Linked DNA regions of Medicago truncatula. The protein of the gene in region 1 interacts with the protein of each later gene in a pairwise test. Links are inferred from orthologs where the notes say so. Each region holds a gene or a part of one and is shown in the gene's direction. Other genes may lie near its edges.

Region 1 (7,236 bases):
GATCATCATGCAATTAGACTAAATAGAGGTAAATGATGCTACTATGAAGGTAAAAATCATTTAAAGTCAAAATTTGAAAACCAGCTAGTTTTTAATATGATTCAAATTTTAGATACAAAATCATTTCTACCACAATATTTTAAAAAGTTAAAATCAATTCAACACTTCTAATATCAATTTTGATATCTCAAAAAAGTGGAACCAAACGAGCATTTAAAAGTGTGCATCTAAATGCCACCTTAGATTGATGTCGGAATGTGAAAAATAGCTTCAAAAGATAAATATCCATTGAGGAAAAAAAAGTTACTGATAAAAACTCATAATCATCAAGAAGCTCTTTCGCATTTTGAGATTGTGTGCGAGTAAAAAAAAATTAACAACACATTTTTTAACATACTCATTTTTACCAGTTATAATACATGTAAGCTTCACCAAATTAAACGTGACTCTAATGCATTTTAATCAATAAGAGAGACCGTATTACAAAATGTGAAAGAGTTTTCTCTTAGCACCCCTAGAAATATTTTGAGATTTTGTGTAAGCTTGATTAAGACTTACCAACAATTATTAATTGATGTTCCAAACAGGTTATAGGTTACAACTAAAACTTAGGCTAAGGTCCACAAAACAGAAACGGCTTTGTCGTTTATGAGCATAGGGTTTGAAACATGTTCAGAGTTAGTGCCCTGTGTCTTCTAAAATGTTTTAAAGGGCCCATACTTTTCCTTGTCTTGTTCTACATAGCATGACTTCATTATCATCCAACCAGTTAACTTGACCAAAACACCCGAAAACGTTTGCTTTAGAGGGAAAACAATAATTTCCCTCAATCTTTCTGAAAAAGGAGTGAACCTGTTCTGTAACCAAAATTATGATGAAATGTTTATACATACACATGTGGTTTCATTTTTTTTTTTTTGACTAAATCATGTGGTTTCATTTATTGTTTATCTATAAAATCTTCTTTTCCACTGTATGAACAGTGGTATAGATTTCATTTTTAACGAAATACAATGGTATAGAAAATTGTCACACAAAACAACAAGTAGAAAGTAAATCATTATTCTTAAAGGGCTTCCATCATTCACAAAAAAATATAATACAAATTAATCATTGATATTTTCATACCTTCAAATTGTGTTTGTAATTCATCAAACCAGTGGTGGTGAGGTCTCATGCAAATATTGTTCATGATATGCACATGTGTGAAAGAGTTTTGGAGAAATAATAGTCAAAATTTTACTGAAGTTGTATCTAAATGTAAAAGATTAACTTAAAAGATGAGTTAATTTTGTTGTTTATAAATATTAATACACACTTTAAGGGTGATTATCATAACACAAATTTATTTATACTTCTTTTTATTTTTTTATAAGGTTGATATATGCTTTCTCAGACTTTTTTTTAGCTTAATACAAGAATAGAAATTTTCATACACGAGTAAATTAGCATCTATGTTGTAATGAATCAATTTTATTTTATTTTTGAAGAAATTGTAATGAATCAAATTATCAACGACTAATTTAAATATTGTAAGTGACAAATAGAGTGTGTAAAATTGATTTTTACTAGAGGGAAAAGGTACAAATAGTAGTTTTGATTCCAAAATGAAGCGGATGAACATACCAAGATTCAGGGGCGATTGCTTTCTTACTAAAGGGGTAGCTATGGCTAACCCAAAGAAGAAGAAGAAAATTATTGAAAGAATAAGTATATTTTTATATTAAGCTAGGAACCAGAGGATGAACACAGAAAAGTTCTACATTCTTTGATTGACAATGAAAATATGACCGCAGCAACAACATCAATGTCTTCCTCCCAAAACAAAAACCTATCGCTATTGGCCTGAACTGATTTAACGGCACTTTGTTATTGTCAAAACAAACCCTTTATTAACGCATCACTTTTTTTTATAGCTAAAAAATAACTAACTAGTAAATTATAACCTTTTATAATCTGTTCTTATTACTTTAAGTGTGTCTTTTGAAATATATTTTATATGAGTAATAGCTATTGTGATTATTATTATTGTAACCACCTCATAAAATTATTATTGTTCGCTGCTGCCAAGATTAACATTTGCAACTGGGTGGTTAACAACTTTCCAATCAATTAAAATCACGTTTGAAGCCGATGAGCTCACCTTGGTTGCTTTTAAGGTTGTGTTTGGTAAGGACGAGAAGCTTGTTTAAGGAGTGTAATGGTTCAATTTGGATCGGTTTTCAATCAAAAAAATGTCCAAACCAATGAAATCTTTATTTGTTCGCTTTGTACTCTTTTCTAAAAAGGAACCGAACCAAACTAATCGGTTTGATTCGGTTTGGATCAGTTCGGTTGATCAGTTTATTTGAAAATACAATTAAAAAATTTCATATTCTCACAAACTTATATTTCATGCATACAACATACATCATATTAAAATATTTTACGGAACTTTGTGTTTTTTTCATGTTCTCTATTTTTCAAACATCTATTTATAATTAACCTTACTCAATATTTCATGCATCCACGACTTCAAAATAAATATTTCATATATCCAAAATCCATTCATCCATCATTCATCAAAATCAAATATTTCAATCATCCATGATCCACACATACATCATTCATCAACTCACAAAAATTCCAAATCATAAGTGAATGGATTATGACATTGTCGAATAAAAGGAGGACTTGATAATGTCATTAATAAAGTGAAGATGGGAGAAAGTGAATTGATCAAGGAGTATTTTATGTTGGACTTTTAATTTTGGGTCTAATTATGTTTGTGTGTGTGTGTGTGTGTGTGTGTGAGGAATAATATTAGTAAAATGGGAAGTGGAGTTAACATCGGTTTGGTTTATCAGTTTCTTGGATCTCAAAATGAAAAAATGAGAATCGAACCAAACAAGATATGTTTAGATTAGTCCGGTTCGGTTTTGAACCGAACCAGACAATGTCGAATACTTTTTCGATTTGGTCTGATTTAAACTTTTGGTTTCGTCGGTTTTGTCCAAACCGCTTACATTTATAGCTTATTGGATTAGTTTTGAGTTTGTTGGATCAAAACATAACGTATTTGGTAATAAGTTTTTCTCATGAGCTTATAACTTTTTGTGAGATTATATTTTAGGTAGTTTTTAAGCTTATAGCTTTTATTAATCTCTTTCAATTTTAACCCTATTAATTTAGTTTTATTATTTTTTAATAATAAAAACTACCCATTTTAGTAAAAAAAATGTAACTACCCGTTTTTATATTTTGTTGAAACCAGCATGCAGCACGTTACGACGCCCGTTTTTAATAATAATAAGTATTGTGATTTATATCTTAAAAAATTAGGGTTTCCTTTGACAAAAAAAAAAAAAGGGTTAGGGTTTCCCAATTCAATCTTAATTTTATTGATAAATATTTCATTAACAAAATTATAAATCAAATAATTGATTAATTTTATTTTAAACTAAGATCGAATAACTTTAGTTTTGAGAGAGGTAACTTTGGATCTATCAACATAGCAACAAACATTCATATAAATATTTTTAAAATGAATTTGATAGAAATAGGTTAACGATGCATATGTTTTATGACTTAAAACATTATGTACATATTTTTATGATCATAAATAACTAATTTGAAATTAGGAAAACTAAAATGATTAACCTATACAAACATTAAATTTAAAAATCTTATGACATTTGTTAAATAAAACATGAAACTTTTTTTTGAGTAATAAAAATATGAAACTCTGAAGTAGTATGTGTTGATATGAAATGAAAGTGCATTGTTCCCTCCCGCCGAATAAATACTGAACACATGATTTGCTGCATTAAAATTGCAGAACTATGGAGATGATGAGATGACCATTCATATATAAAATTGCGTCATTTTATATATCCCTTACATCACACACTTTAATCACCCTCTTCTTACTATTACTACCCCCCAAAAGCAACAAAAAAAGTACACACCTATACTTCAATATTTCATTACATAGAACCCTATACGTTACTATAGGCCATGATGACACAACACAACATAACAGTGTCAAAATCTTCACATCACACGCCATACATTTGCCTAATGTTTTGTTTTTGCACTTTATTTGCAACATTTTCTTTACCTTATCACAGTATCATGTAACTCTTGTTTCTACTCAAGTTACCAACTTGTTTTAAATTTTGCTAAAAAAGCTAAAATGTTTCTTTCTGTATGCACCTGCTATGCTATGAACAGAGAGAGAGTGAAATATAGCAGTGATTCAGATAAATGATCAGAGAGAGAGTGAAAAGATGGGCCCTCTAAAGCCTGAAACAGAAATGAGTGGCACTGCACCAAACACTATACACTGTATCAATGCCTCTCTCTCTCTTTCCTTGTTTTATTTCTTTGTGGTTTTTCTACCTTCTTCTATCTCATTCATCTCTATCTTTGCATTTACATACATAGGTGCATAAACTAGCCCCCCCCCCCTCTCTCTCTCTCTCTAGGTTTTTTTTTACATTTTTTCTACACTATAGTTTGCAGTTTGCACTCTTCAATGCTTTTGTTATTCTTGAGGTGATTTTTTTTTATATGGTATAATGTAAAGTTTTTTGAGCTTTTTTGTGTGTATTGGATTAGAGAAATGAATGGTATGCACTATGCAATAAATCTTGATGGGATCTGTGAAAATTAAAAAATGTGCTTTTGGAGTTTGGGATACTTGAATTAAAAATATTGTTAATGTTCATGCATATTGGACCAATGCATGCTTTTGATATTCACCCTTTTCAGCATATTTCTGGTTTTGTTCTTTACATTGTTAAACTTTTAAGACCAAATTTAATGATACTCTAATCACATTGCTTATCTTTTTGTTTTTCATGTTTCTTTGTTGTTTTCTAGGTTCTCATAGGACAAGGCAACTACAAATCCTGCAAAGAAGTTGTCAAAAATGTTTGAATTTTTGAAGATTTTGACAGATATATGTAAAGTTTCATATGGTGGCTCTGTTTGATTTATGTAAGGTTCCTATGCTTATTAAGACAAGGTTGGTTCATTTGTTTTTGCTTACAAACATTTTTTTTTAACTGTAGCCTTATCTTAAAATTGTTCTTGTTATCAAATAAGTAAGTAGTCAAAAATCATTTTTCTAAGTCTATTTTATTTTCTTCTTTGTAGCATTTTCTAATTGTTTTCTAAATGGAGAATGATGTGTACACTGCTCAAATGAACATGGAAGATATCACACAACATCTAACACAAAAGCCACTCATTCATTACTATTCATTTGACCTTAACAACCAAAACAACATCATAAATGGAATTCCAATACTTTCTGGTGGAGAACAAGATCAACATGTTGATGGTAGTTTCATGAATCAAGTTACCATAGCTGATAATTCATTTGTTACATCACAACAAGGAAGGACTATTGTGGAAAATCCCTCAAATCTCATTGTTAATAACAATGACTTTTCGGTTCCGGCTAGAATCGGTCTTCAAGAAAATTTAGAAGCAATAGTTCCATACATATTCAATAATTGGCATGATACTTCAAACTCAAACCCTTTGTGTGCAACTTTTGGTGATAATAATAGCTATGTTAACAAGTTTTTGAAAGCTCAAGAGAGTAATGTTGGAACCGAATTCATGTCATATTCGCCGATAGGGAACATTGATCCAAATGGATGGCAATCATCAAATGTTGCTAACTTAACGAATCTCGCTTATAGTTCCTCGAATTGTAGCAATGAGCTTTCACTAAGTCTTGCAACATCTCCAACTTCAGTTCAATGCTCAGAGATTAGTTGTTCTGACTTAACTCATAGCATGAATGGAACAAGATCAGGTTTGGAACAAGCCTCATGTAGTAGTATGGAACTTTCTATGAGTTTAGGGAATGATAAACATGTCAAGTTTTCGCCCGCAATATTAGGATCAAGATACCTTGCTGTAATTCAGGAAATACTTGTTCAAATTGCAACATTTTCATTTGAAAATCTTGATGAGATAAACTATTCCGGTTCTGGTGTTAGAGGCCGAGGAAATAAATCAACTTCGTCAAACACAACCAAGCGAAGGATAGGAATAAATCGCGACGAGAGTCCTATGTCAGAAGCTTATGCTGATTCTTCATTGCAAAGGCATGCTGTTGAATCAAAGCAATCTCAACTCTTGATGCTTCTACAGATGGTACATTGCTAACCACTTAGATTACATTACATTCATTTGGTTTTCGTAAAACCGTTTATGGTCCTGATTGCGTTAGTATATGTCTGCTGGTTTCACTCTTGAACATGGAAAAAATTGATTTCTGATGTGTAGAACGGATTTTGACATCTTTGGATGTTTTCTAGTAGAGTTGGTACTTAGAGCTAGAATTTTGAGCTTTTGCCTCTACAATTGATTTTTAGCCTTGAATTTATTGCTCAATCAACTTTTACATGAGAATCTATCGAAACATAAAATCAAATTACATGCAACACCCTCTTAGGCAGAAAATCAAAATTAATTTTTGTAATTGTAGAAGCAAACCTAGATGCAAAATTGTTCACTTTTCCAAATAAAATTTATCGATGGTTAAAAGTTGTTATACTAGTTCAGGACAAAACTTTGAAAAGCAAATTGTGTGATGTTGAATGGTACTCTATGAACAGTTGTTATTTGAACATCAAAATACCTACATTCCAAAGTTACACACAAGGGTCAAAAGAAATTTTGATTATCAAAAATTATTTCTCTATATGAAAGTTTTGTTCGAGAATGCTGATAGTAGTCTTTATTTTACTCAGGTGGACAGTCAATATAGTCAATGTTTGGATGAGATTCACACTGTCGTATCTGCATTTCATGCTGCTACTGAGCTCGATCCACAAATACACGCGCACTTTGCTGTCAAAACGGTTTCTCGACTATATAAGGACTTGAGAGAGAGGATTAGCAAACATATTCTTTCCATGGGATCAAATTTTAACAGTTCATGGTCAGAAGAGGATAAGGAATTATCTGTTGAAACTTCATTCATTCAAAAGCAATGGGCTCTTCAACAGTTGAAAAGGAAAGATCAGTTATGGAGGCCCCAAAGGGGCTTGCCAGAAAGATCTGTTTCCGTTCTACGTGATTGGATGTTTCAGAATTTCCTCCATCCGTAAGTATTATCTATAATCAAACATATGCTGCCACATTGCATCCCCAATTTCGGCTGCATCAGCTGCATTTTGCTACAATATCAATGATTGTGACGCAACTGCAACTGCAACTGCAATTTAGAACCTT
Region 2 (7,802 bases), on another chromosome or scaffold:
CATCTTCATCCTCACCTACATTACGAATTCATCAATCTTCATCATACCGAGAAAACATAAATTCAACATTCAAACTCTTCAATCAAAATCTCATTTTCCATTTCCTCTTGTTTAAACTCTTCTTATTTGAACACACTTTTTCTTAATTCTCAATTCTCCCCCTTCTTTCAATTCCATATCCAGGGACATAACATAATAAAACAAAGGGGAAAAAACCTCAATCAAGAAAAATATGAAGGATGTTGAGAAGAAACCCAAAACTCAAATCTTCTCATTCTAAGTGCAATTTTAATTTCGTCAATGTGAATTAGAACACAAGCCCAGAACAATCAAAACTGCTACTATGATAGAGTTTGTTGTGGCTGGAAAAACTTTGCAATGTTTCAAATTAGCATCTTTTAAAAAACCGTGTCTCAAAAAATTGCTCTAATGATTTTTTAGTCGCTAATTTGTTGTGGGATTGTGTTGCTGGAAAGAAAAAAAATGTAATCGGTGTGTGGTTTAATGGGTTGTTGTTGTGTGGTTTAATTTGAAATTTTGAAGGTTTCTGCAGAATTTAATTCAAGTTATGTGTTGTTATTGTTTGATGATTTTGGGTGATGATGAATCGATAGAAGGAAATAGAATAAGAACCAACACAAGGATCCATAAAGGTTTTACTACACTAAAGGGATGCGATTTTGGGGTAGATCCGGAGATTTTAGGGTTTGAGTATGATTTAGATTTGGAATTGAGTATGTATTGGATCCGGCGAAGAAGAAGATTTTGATGGAAATGAAAATGAGATTTTGATTAAAGAGTTTGAATGTTTAATTTATGTTAATGGGCATGATGAAGATTGATGAATGTTGATGATGGTGAGGTTGAAGATGATGAAGAAGAAGAAGGAAGAAGATGAAGAAAGAAAAGCAAGATTTTTAATTTGAAATTTGTTAATTCGTGTTTTTGAATTTCGTCCCCTGGAAATTTTCATTTTTGGATTTAGTCCCTCTAAACTTGTCAATTGTGACACATAAGCCTCACTTGCCATGTCACGCATCGTCACATCGGTCGCCGTTTGATATATCAACGTTTTTGTAACTTATGATGACGACAAGACCAAAAACAAAACATTTGAAACTTACCGGGTATTTTTAGAATCAAAAAGTTACAAAAACAGAAACAAAAAACACGCCAACTTACAGGAACAATTTACATATTATAAAAATGGTTAATTAAGTTTTTAGTCCTTGTAAATATTCACAGTTTTATTTTTAGGAACAAAATGTTGATGAAATTTTTTTACAGGGACTAAAAATAATGATGAAAAGTTCTTATAGGGACTAAAAATGCTGATGGAGAATTTTATAGCGATTAAAAAGTATGATTTTATTTTGTAGGGAAAAACAATTAATTAACCCTTCTAAAAATCTGAATTATTATTATTCTAAAATTGACAGCAACTCAAATTTTCAATGCTGTACGAAAGAGAACAAAAAAAATGAAGAGTATAAACCGGATGGGAGGGGGGACAATGGGATGCGACAATAAGTACGTAACCTGATGGAGCTGCTTTTATACGGTATTTTTACGGGAAGTGATGCTAAGTCTATGCCTTTATTGTGGACGATGAGGAAGGATATATAGATATCTATGGTGCTAGTGCTACAAATAGATTAGCAAGTCATCAAAGAAAAAAAGAGGAAGAGACATTCGGACTGTCCCACATACTTTACAGCTTTATTAACTTAGCTACAGCACTAGCTTTTTCTGCAGTAAATTATCTCGAATTACTACTGATTATATGCATGCTAGCTAACATAGCAACGTCATATTGGGTTCAATTTAGTAAAAGATAAAACTTTGTTGAGTTAATTAATAATTCACAAAATTAAAGTAGAAAGTTAATCATCTTTGGTAGCCCTTGGCTTTCTGATAGTTGGAGATTTTTTCTGTTCAATCGGCTGATGTTTGCTTGCATGTTTTTCAATTTGGTGGTTTGTTTAGTTGTAGTATTTGTTTACGAAGGATATACTCATCATTGCTTGTATGTGATTTTGTTGGATGTTTTATTGGAAGAAGTGTAACTCGTAGGTTTGCTGTAACAAAGAGTTGAATTTAGATGTTACAAGATCGTATTAAACTTTTCTCTTGGTGTATTTTTTGTTCTATTTTTAGAGGGTTATAATTGATTTTGGAGGTATAGAATTGATTCTGATATGTTTGGTTGTTGTTGATTATAATTGACCATGTCTCCATAATTGATTATATTTGAGATATGATTTGTAACTTTTGAATCTATAATTGATTTTAATATACAAATTTATAATTCAACTCACTTTTACATGAACGTATCCAAACATAAATTACATTTTTAAAAAAAATTACTTTTAATTAAAATCAATTCTACAAAATTGATTATATCAAAATCAATTTTTTCCACAACGCAACCAAATATACGTTTGGTGGTGGTTGAAATCTCAAGAACCACATATTTTTTTACATTTCCATTCGTGATGGAATAATCCATTAGTCTGTATTGATTATGCCACCATATAATGTTGTGTCTCAAAAACTTGTAGTTATGATATTATGTGTGGGGTGACATCGATTTAAACAAATCACGATATCACTTAAATTAACACATCAACACATCTAATAAAATTAATTAACAAAGAAACATTTTGATTGACGTAAGACAATTTAGGGGAATAATTTTATGTTTCATAAATTTAGTGTTCAAAATAACAATTACATTTTCAAGACAAAAATGTGATTTAATCATTAATTACTATTGTTCAAAAGAAACAAACTATATATCTTATAGTTTCTTGTATACTAAAATGAGTTAATTTTTAATCTCGAGCAAGAAGAAAACAAAGAGAGTGAGTATAATGACGACTAGTGTTGTATTTTCATAAAATTAAATGTACTCGTTCTAAAGTAATTAACCTTTCTAAAACAAAAATTTGTCACGAAATAATTGATCTTTTCAATTTTCAACATAGCATTAATATTTTTTCCAATCGTATCTCTAATATTACTTGTATCATTGTCAATCAATATTTTTTTTTTTTGACAAAAATTCAATATATTTTATAGTTACACAAATGTCAACTTGTGCCTTTTTTAAGTTAAATTAATCCATCTAAATTAATATTGGAGATAATCGAATCTGAGACCTCGAGCATGAGCACACTTCAAAATCCTAACTCAACATCACTAGACTAGGGATCTAGTGATGGCAAAGCGGACCAACCAACTTAAACCCGCAAAAAGCAGGAAGAAACGGGTTGAATCAATTTAGGTGGCCGAGTTCAAAATTTCATCCCCCGCTTTATGGCGGGTTGACGGGCCGTCAAAGAAAAAACGTGATTTTTAATGCAATTTTTAACAGTTTTATTGTTATGAAAAAATATGTTGTGGTTATTTATAAAATAAAATTGGGAGCAAATCAATTTGTGCTAAAACACAAGCTTACGAGACAAAATTGGATTATAATGAGTTATTTGGTCACTTCATTTTAAATTATGTCTAACTCGTCGATAAAATAAAAAATTAAAAAATTTCAAGTTGACGAGTTGGTGGGTTGGCCCGCCCCGTCCCTATCCCATCCCATCCCATTTTTTCAACGAATTAAGCAAGACGAGCCTATTAGAAGTGGTGAGTTCAAAACTCCAGCTTAGCTCTCCAAAAAAAGCAAGCTAAATGAGCCGGCCCGATAATTAGGTTTGTTTTGCCACCTTTACTCCAAGCCAATCCAAGTTGGTTAATTAACTTATGCCCTTAAGGCGCATGTTAAAGAACTTATTATAAATATATACATTTTTTTAAGAATCGAAACATACATTTTTAAAGTTGTATATTCATCTTTTTAAAAGTCAAAATATTATATTTTTTAATATAAATTAAAGTTACTCTCGTTGAGTTTTTAACATGTGCGTTGGGTTGCAAAAGGACATCTTAATGAGTGGCTTCTAGCAAAACTTATATATATATATATATATATATATATATATATATATATATATATATATATATATATATATATATTAATTGAACAAAATCCTTATTTTTTTTTCTTTAGGTGCGTTTAACATTTAGGCCATCTCCAACAAGGGATCTCTCTCCTTTTTAAGACCAGATATTTATTAAGTAATTTCATCGAGTAAAAGTTATTGAATTAATAGGAACAAAGTCTCAATGTAGATGTTAAATTTTTAGTGAGATGATTTTTTTATTTTTAATATTTTATTTTTGAAATGCAATGATATAGAGTCATTGGTAGATAATTAATGTGTTCCGTGTTTAGCTGGAGGGATTGACTGCTTATTAGATATTATTATTAAAAAATTATAAATGAGTGATGCAGACATATAAAATTATTCTAAGTATCTAAAAATGATTGTTTCCATTTTGATTTTATTATACAATGAGAAATGGTAACTAGTGTTTGGGGCCGTGATTAAGAAAACCAATATGGTATATAGTACAATAAAAATTGTATAACCTTTCATTTGGTCTTTGTAATTAGGTTTTGTTAAAGAGTGCTGTCGGGGCACTCATGAAGGATTTTAAAAGAAAAAAATTATTTTACATAAAAGTTAAATATTTTGATTTCTAATACATTGATTATACATATTTTTATAAAAAATTATCATTTAAAGGTATTAAAGAGTACCTCGGAGGCATTTGTTAATATTTTGCTTGTGATTATAAAAGATTAAATTGTACTTGTATAATAAATACTAATAAAATAAGAATTGATCTAAGAAAAAAGAATAGAGTGAGTGAGGTGAGGGAGATAGAGAGAAGGATTGATTCCGTGCCCTATGAAATGAACCTATCTTCCCCAATATATTCATCATCATCAGCATAGTAGTAGTAGGTAACTTGTTTTCTCCTCCTCGATTTGATCGTTCCTAGCTCACTATTTATTACTACCTCTCTCCAAAACAAAAGAAAAGAAAAGAAAAAAAAACTTGCTTGTTCTCTTGTCTCTCACTCCACTGCTTTTGTATGGCAGGGGTATCAGTGGCAGTGCAGAAAAAGGAAGGTAGAGTTTTCATTGGGAAGGTAAAACCTTTTTTTGGCACCAATGCTTCACACTAACCCTTCTTCTGTAACTCAACCTTCATCTCTCTCTCTACATATCCCGCGTGCACTCTACTGCTTTCTCACTCCTTCATAAAAAACCTTGTATTATCCACTAGCTAGAGAGACAAAGAGAGATTCATTTCTTCATTAAATGCTGAAAATGTGTGGAAAGAGAGATTAACACTCATTTTCCAAAGGAAATCTGTGCAGGCTTTTGCCAGTAGTAGAATCCAAAAAACCTCTTCACTACTTCTTCATGTAACTGACTGTAACTATACAACATAGCCACCACAAAACACTATCACTATTTATGTTTTTCTGTAAAAAAGCCTGTTACTTTTTTACCATAAAACCCGGGCGGGTGACCCTTGTGTGAAACAAAAACATCTTCAATATTAATATCATTCAAGTGAGAGAAAGAAAAATCTGACCTAGAAGGCAAAAAGGGTAATAAAAAGGAAGTGTTATTGTGGCTAAGTGAGTGAGTGAGTGAGTATTAATTCAATGGAGGGTAGTTCTAATGGAAGTTGTTCTTATGTGATGGGTGCTTTTGGAGAAAACAGTGGTGGGCTATGTCCTCCAATGATGATGATGCCTTTAGTCACTTCATCTCATCATAATGCTCATCATCCAATAAATTCCAATAACAACAATACTAATGCAAACAACACAACCGGTCTTTTCCTTCCTATCCCTAATTCCACTAACAATAATAACAATCACTACACCAACTGTAATAACAACACCTCTTCTATCATGCTTCAAAATAACCATCAAAACACTCCTGGTTTAGGTTACTATTTCATGGACAACATCAACAACCATGGAAGCTCTTCTTCCTCTTCTTCTTCTGTCAAATCCAAGATCATGGCTCATCCTCACTATCACCGTCTCTTGGAAGCCTACATCAACTGTCAAAAGGTCAGAAAAAAAAAGAAGATAATTATTTTGAAAACGATGTGTGTGTAATTAATTTCTTTGTACTTTTTTTGTTTGACAAGTTTGGATCTGATGAGCTGTGTTGTATAATTGTACTTTGAAACTGTGGCCTTTTGTTTTCATTTCCATTTATTACTAATATTGACAAACTATCATGTATATTATTGTAAGTCAAAACCCTTTTAAGCATATGTGATAAAGACACTTCATCTCATGACTATTTTTTTCATAAATTTTTTACTTCATGAAAATTATTGTGTTTTTAGGTTGGAGCACCAAGTGAAGTGGTGGCAAGGTTAGAAGAAGCATGTGCAACTGCAGTGAGAATGGGTGGAGATGCAGTTGGATCAGGTTGTTTAGGTGAAGATCCAGCTCTAGATCAGTTCATGGAAGCTTACTGTGAGATGCTTATCAAGTATGAGCAAGAACTTTCCAAACCCTTAAAGGAAGCTATGCTTTTTCTTCAAAGGATTGAAGTCCAGTTCAAAAATCTTACAGTTTCTTCATCTTCAGATAATATTGGTGATAATAACCTCTCTCTCTCTCTCTCTCCAGAAAATACTATTCAGATTTTAAATCATAATCTTGATTGCTTGATATTTGTTGTTGTTTACATATGCATCCATGCATGCCTGTGTTTGGAAGAGTTTGTTAATTTTGTTAGTATGTAAAAGTGTTTGATTATTATTAATTAATTAATTAAATTGAAGTTTATGACAAGATCTACTTTTTTTTTTCTAGCTTTTCTTATAAAAAAAATTCTTAATTAGTCTTTTTCAATAGTATTTTATATTGCTAGCTTGTACTCTTTTTAATCTTCTTTGCCTAAATAAGTGAGTTCCTAATACTTGCTACCAAAGGTGCCCTTAACTCATGCGTTTTTTGTCTAAAAATAAAGGTAGATGGTGATGTATAGTAGTACATATATATTTCATTGGTGTTGGTGCATTGAAGGAACTTAACTATATAGGTATCTTGTTAAATTCGTCTTTTCTTGTGTGTGTGCTTGATAGTATTGTTTTTATGGGAACTATAAGACTTGCATCATCACACATATAGCTTTTTCTTAAAATTTCCCTTTTGATGAGGTCACAGAAACTCTCAGATTTCACTGGCTTTTGTAGTGTTCTTAATATATTAACATTATTAAAGAATCTACTTTGTAATGAATCCAAAAATTGGAGGACTTCGGAACAGGAAGATTGGTGGGTGAATTTAGGTTTTGTAAATAATAACCAATGAATTAGGGTTTCTTCTGCACTTGTTCCCAGAAGTGGTAATTGCGAGGTATATACTCACAAGTTTCTTTCCTAATTGGAGTGCAAAATGCAGATAGTAGAGTAGCTCCAAAGAGCTGAAGTACTTTCCTGGGGACAAGTGCAAAGTGGATTTTAGATTTATGATATGGATCAATTAACATGGAAAAAAATCTTGCAAAGTTGATTGGATTTGATTAATGACCTAAAAAAGAGATTAAGCTATGATGTGTTAGTAGGTCCTTAAGAATAATGATGAATTTGATTGATTTGTTCTCTTGCTTCTTTTTCTCATTTGTCTCATCAAGGTTCCGTGTAAACACTACTCCCTATAGATGGAATATTTTATTAATTTGTATTATTTCATATAGCTAGTGTGATTATATGTGTTGTCATCATTATGTATATTTTTGTGTCTGCAGGTATAGATGCATATTATAATGCTTGTTAAAATTATGTTTGTTTTTTGATATTATATTTGATAAAAAACTTGGTTACTTGTCTTTAACTAAAAATGGATATACATTGTCC

The links.
Region 2: the proteins of homeobox protein ATH1 (region 1) and homeobox protein SBH1 interact in binary tests that used the Arabidopsis thaliana proteins (3 or more experiments, as listed by UniProt). The link is inferred for Medicago truncatula from reciprocal best matches to the Arabidopsis thaliana genes ATH1 and STM.

Annotation. Positions count from the first base shown.
Region 1 is NC_053042.1:4,466,548-4,473,783, forward strand, and holds the start of homeobox protein ATH1, read left to right. Parts: upstream 1-4,188; 5' UTR 4,189-4,326; exon of another isoform or gene 4,327-4,536; intron 4,537-4,863; 5' UTR 4,864-4,980; exon of another isoform or gene 4,981-5,008; intron 5,009-5,139; 5' UTR 5,140-5,160; coding exon 5,161-6,153; intron 6,154-6,752; coding exon 6,753-7,108; intron 7,109-7,236. UniProt on the Arabidopsis thaliana protein: Transcription factor which may be involved in the signal transduction pathway downstream of the COP1 gene. Controls floral competency as a specific activator of FLC expression. Is responsive of the nuclear import of SHOOT MERISTEMLESS (STM).
Region 2 is NC_053043.1:8,828,574-8,836,375, reverse strand, and holds the start of homeobox protein SBH1, read left to right. Parts: upstream 1-4,769; 5' UTR 4,770-5,580; coding exon 5,581-5,997; intron 5,998-6,281; coding exon 6,282-6,537; intron 6,538-7,802. UniProt on the Arabidopsis thaliana protein: Required for shoot apical meristem (SAM) formation during embryogenesis. Negatively regulates ASYMMETRIC LEAVES1 (AS1) and ASYMMETRIC LEAVES2 (AS2 or LBD6). Probably binds to the DNA sequence 5'-TGAC-3'. Binds to RNA.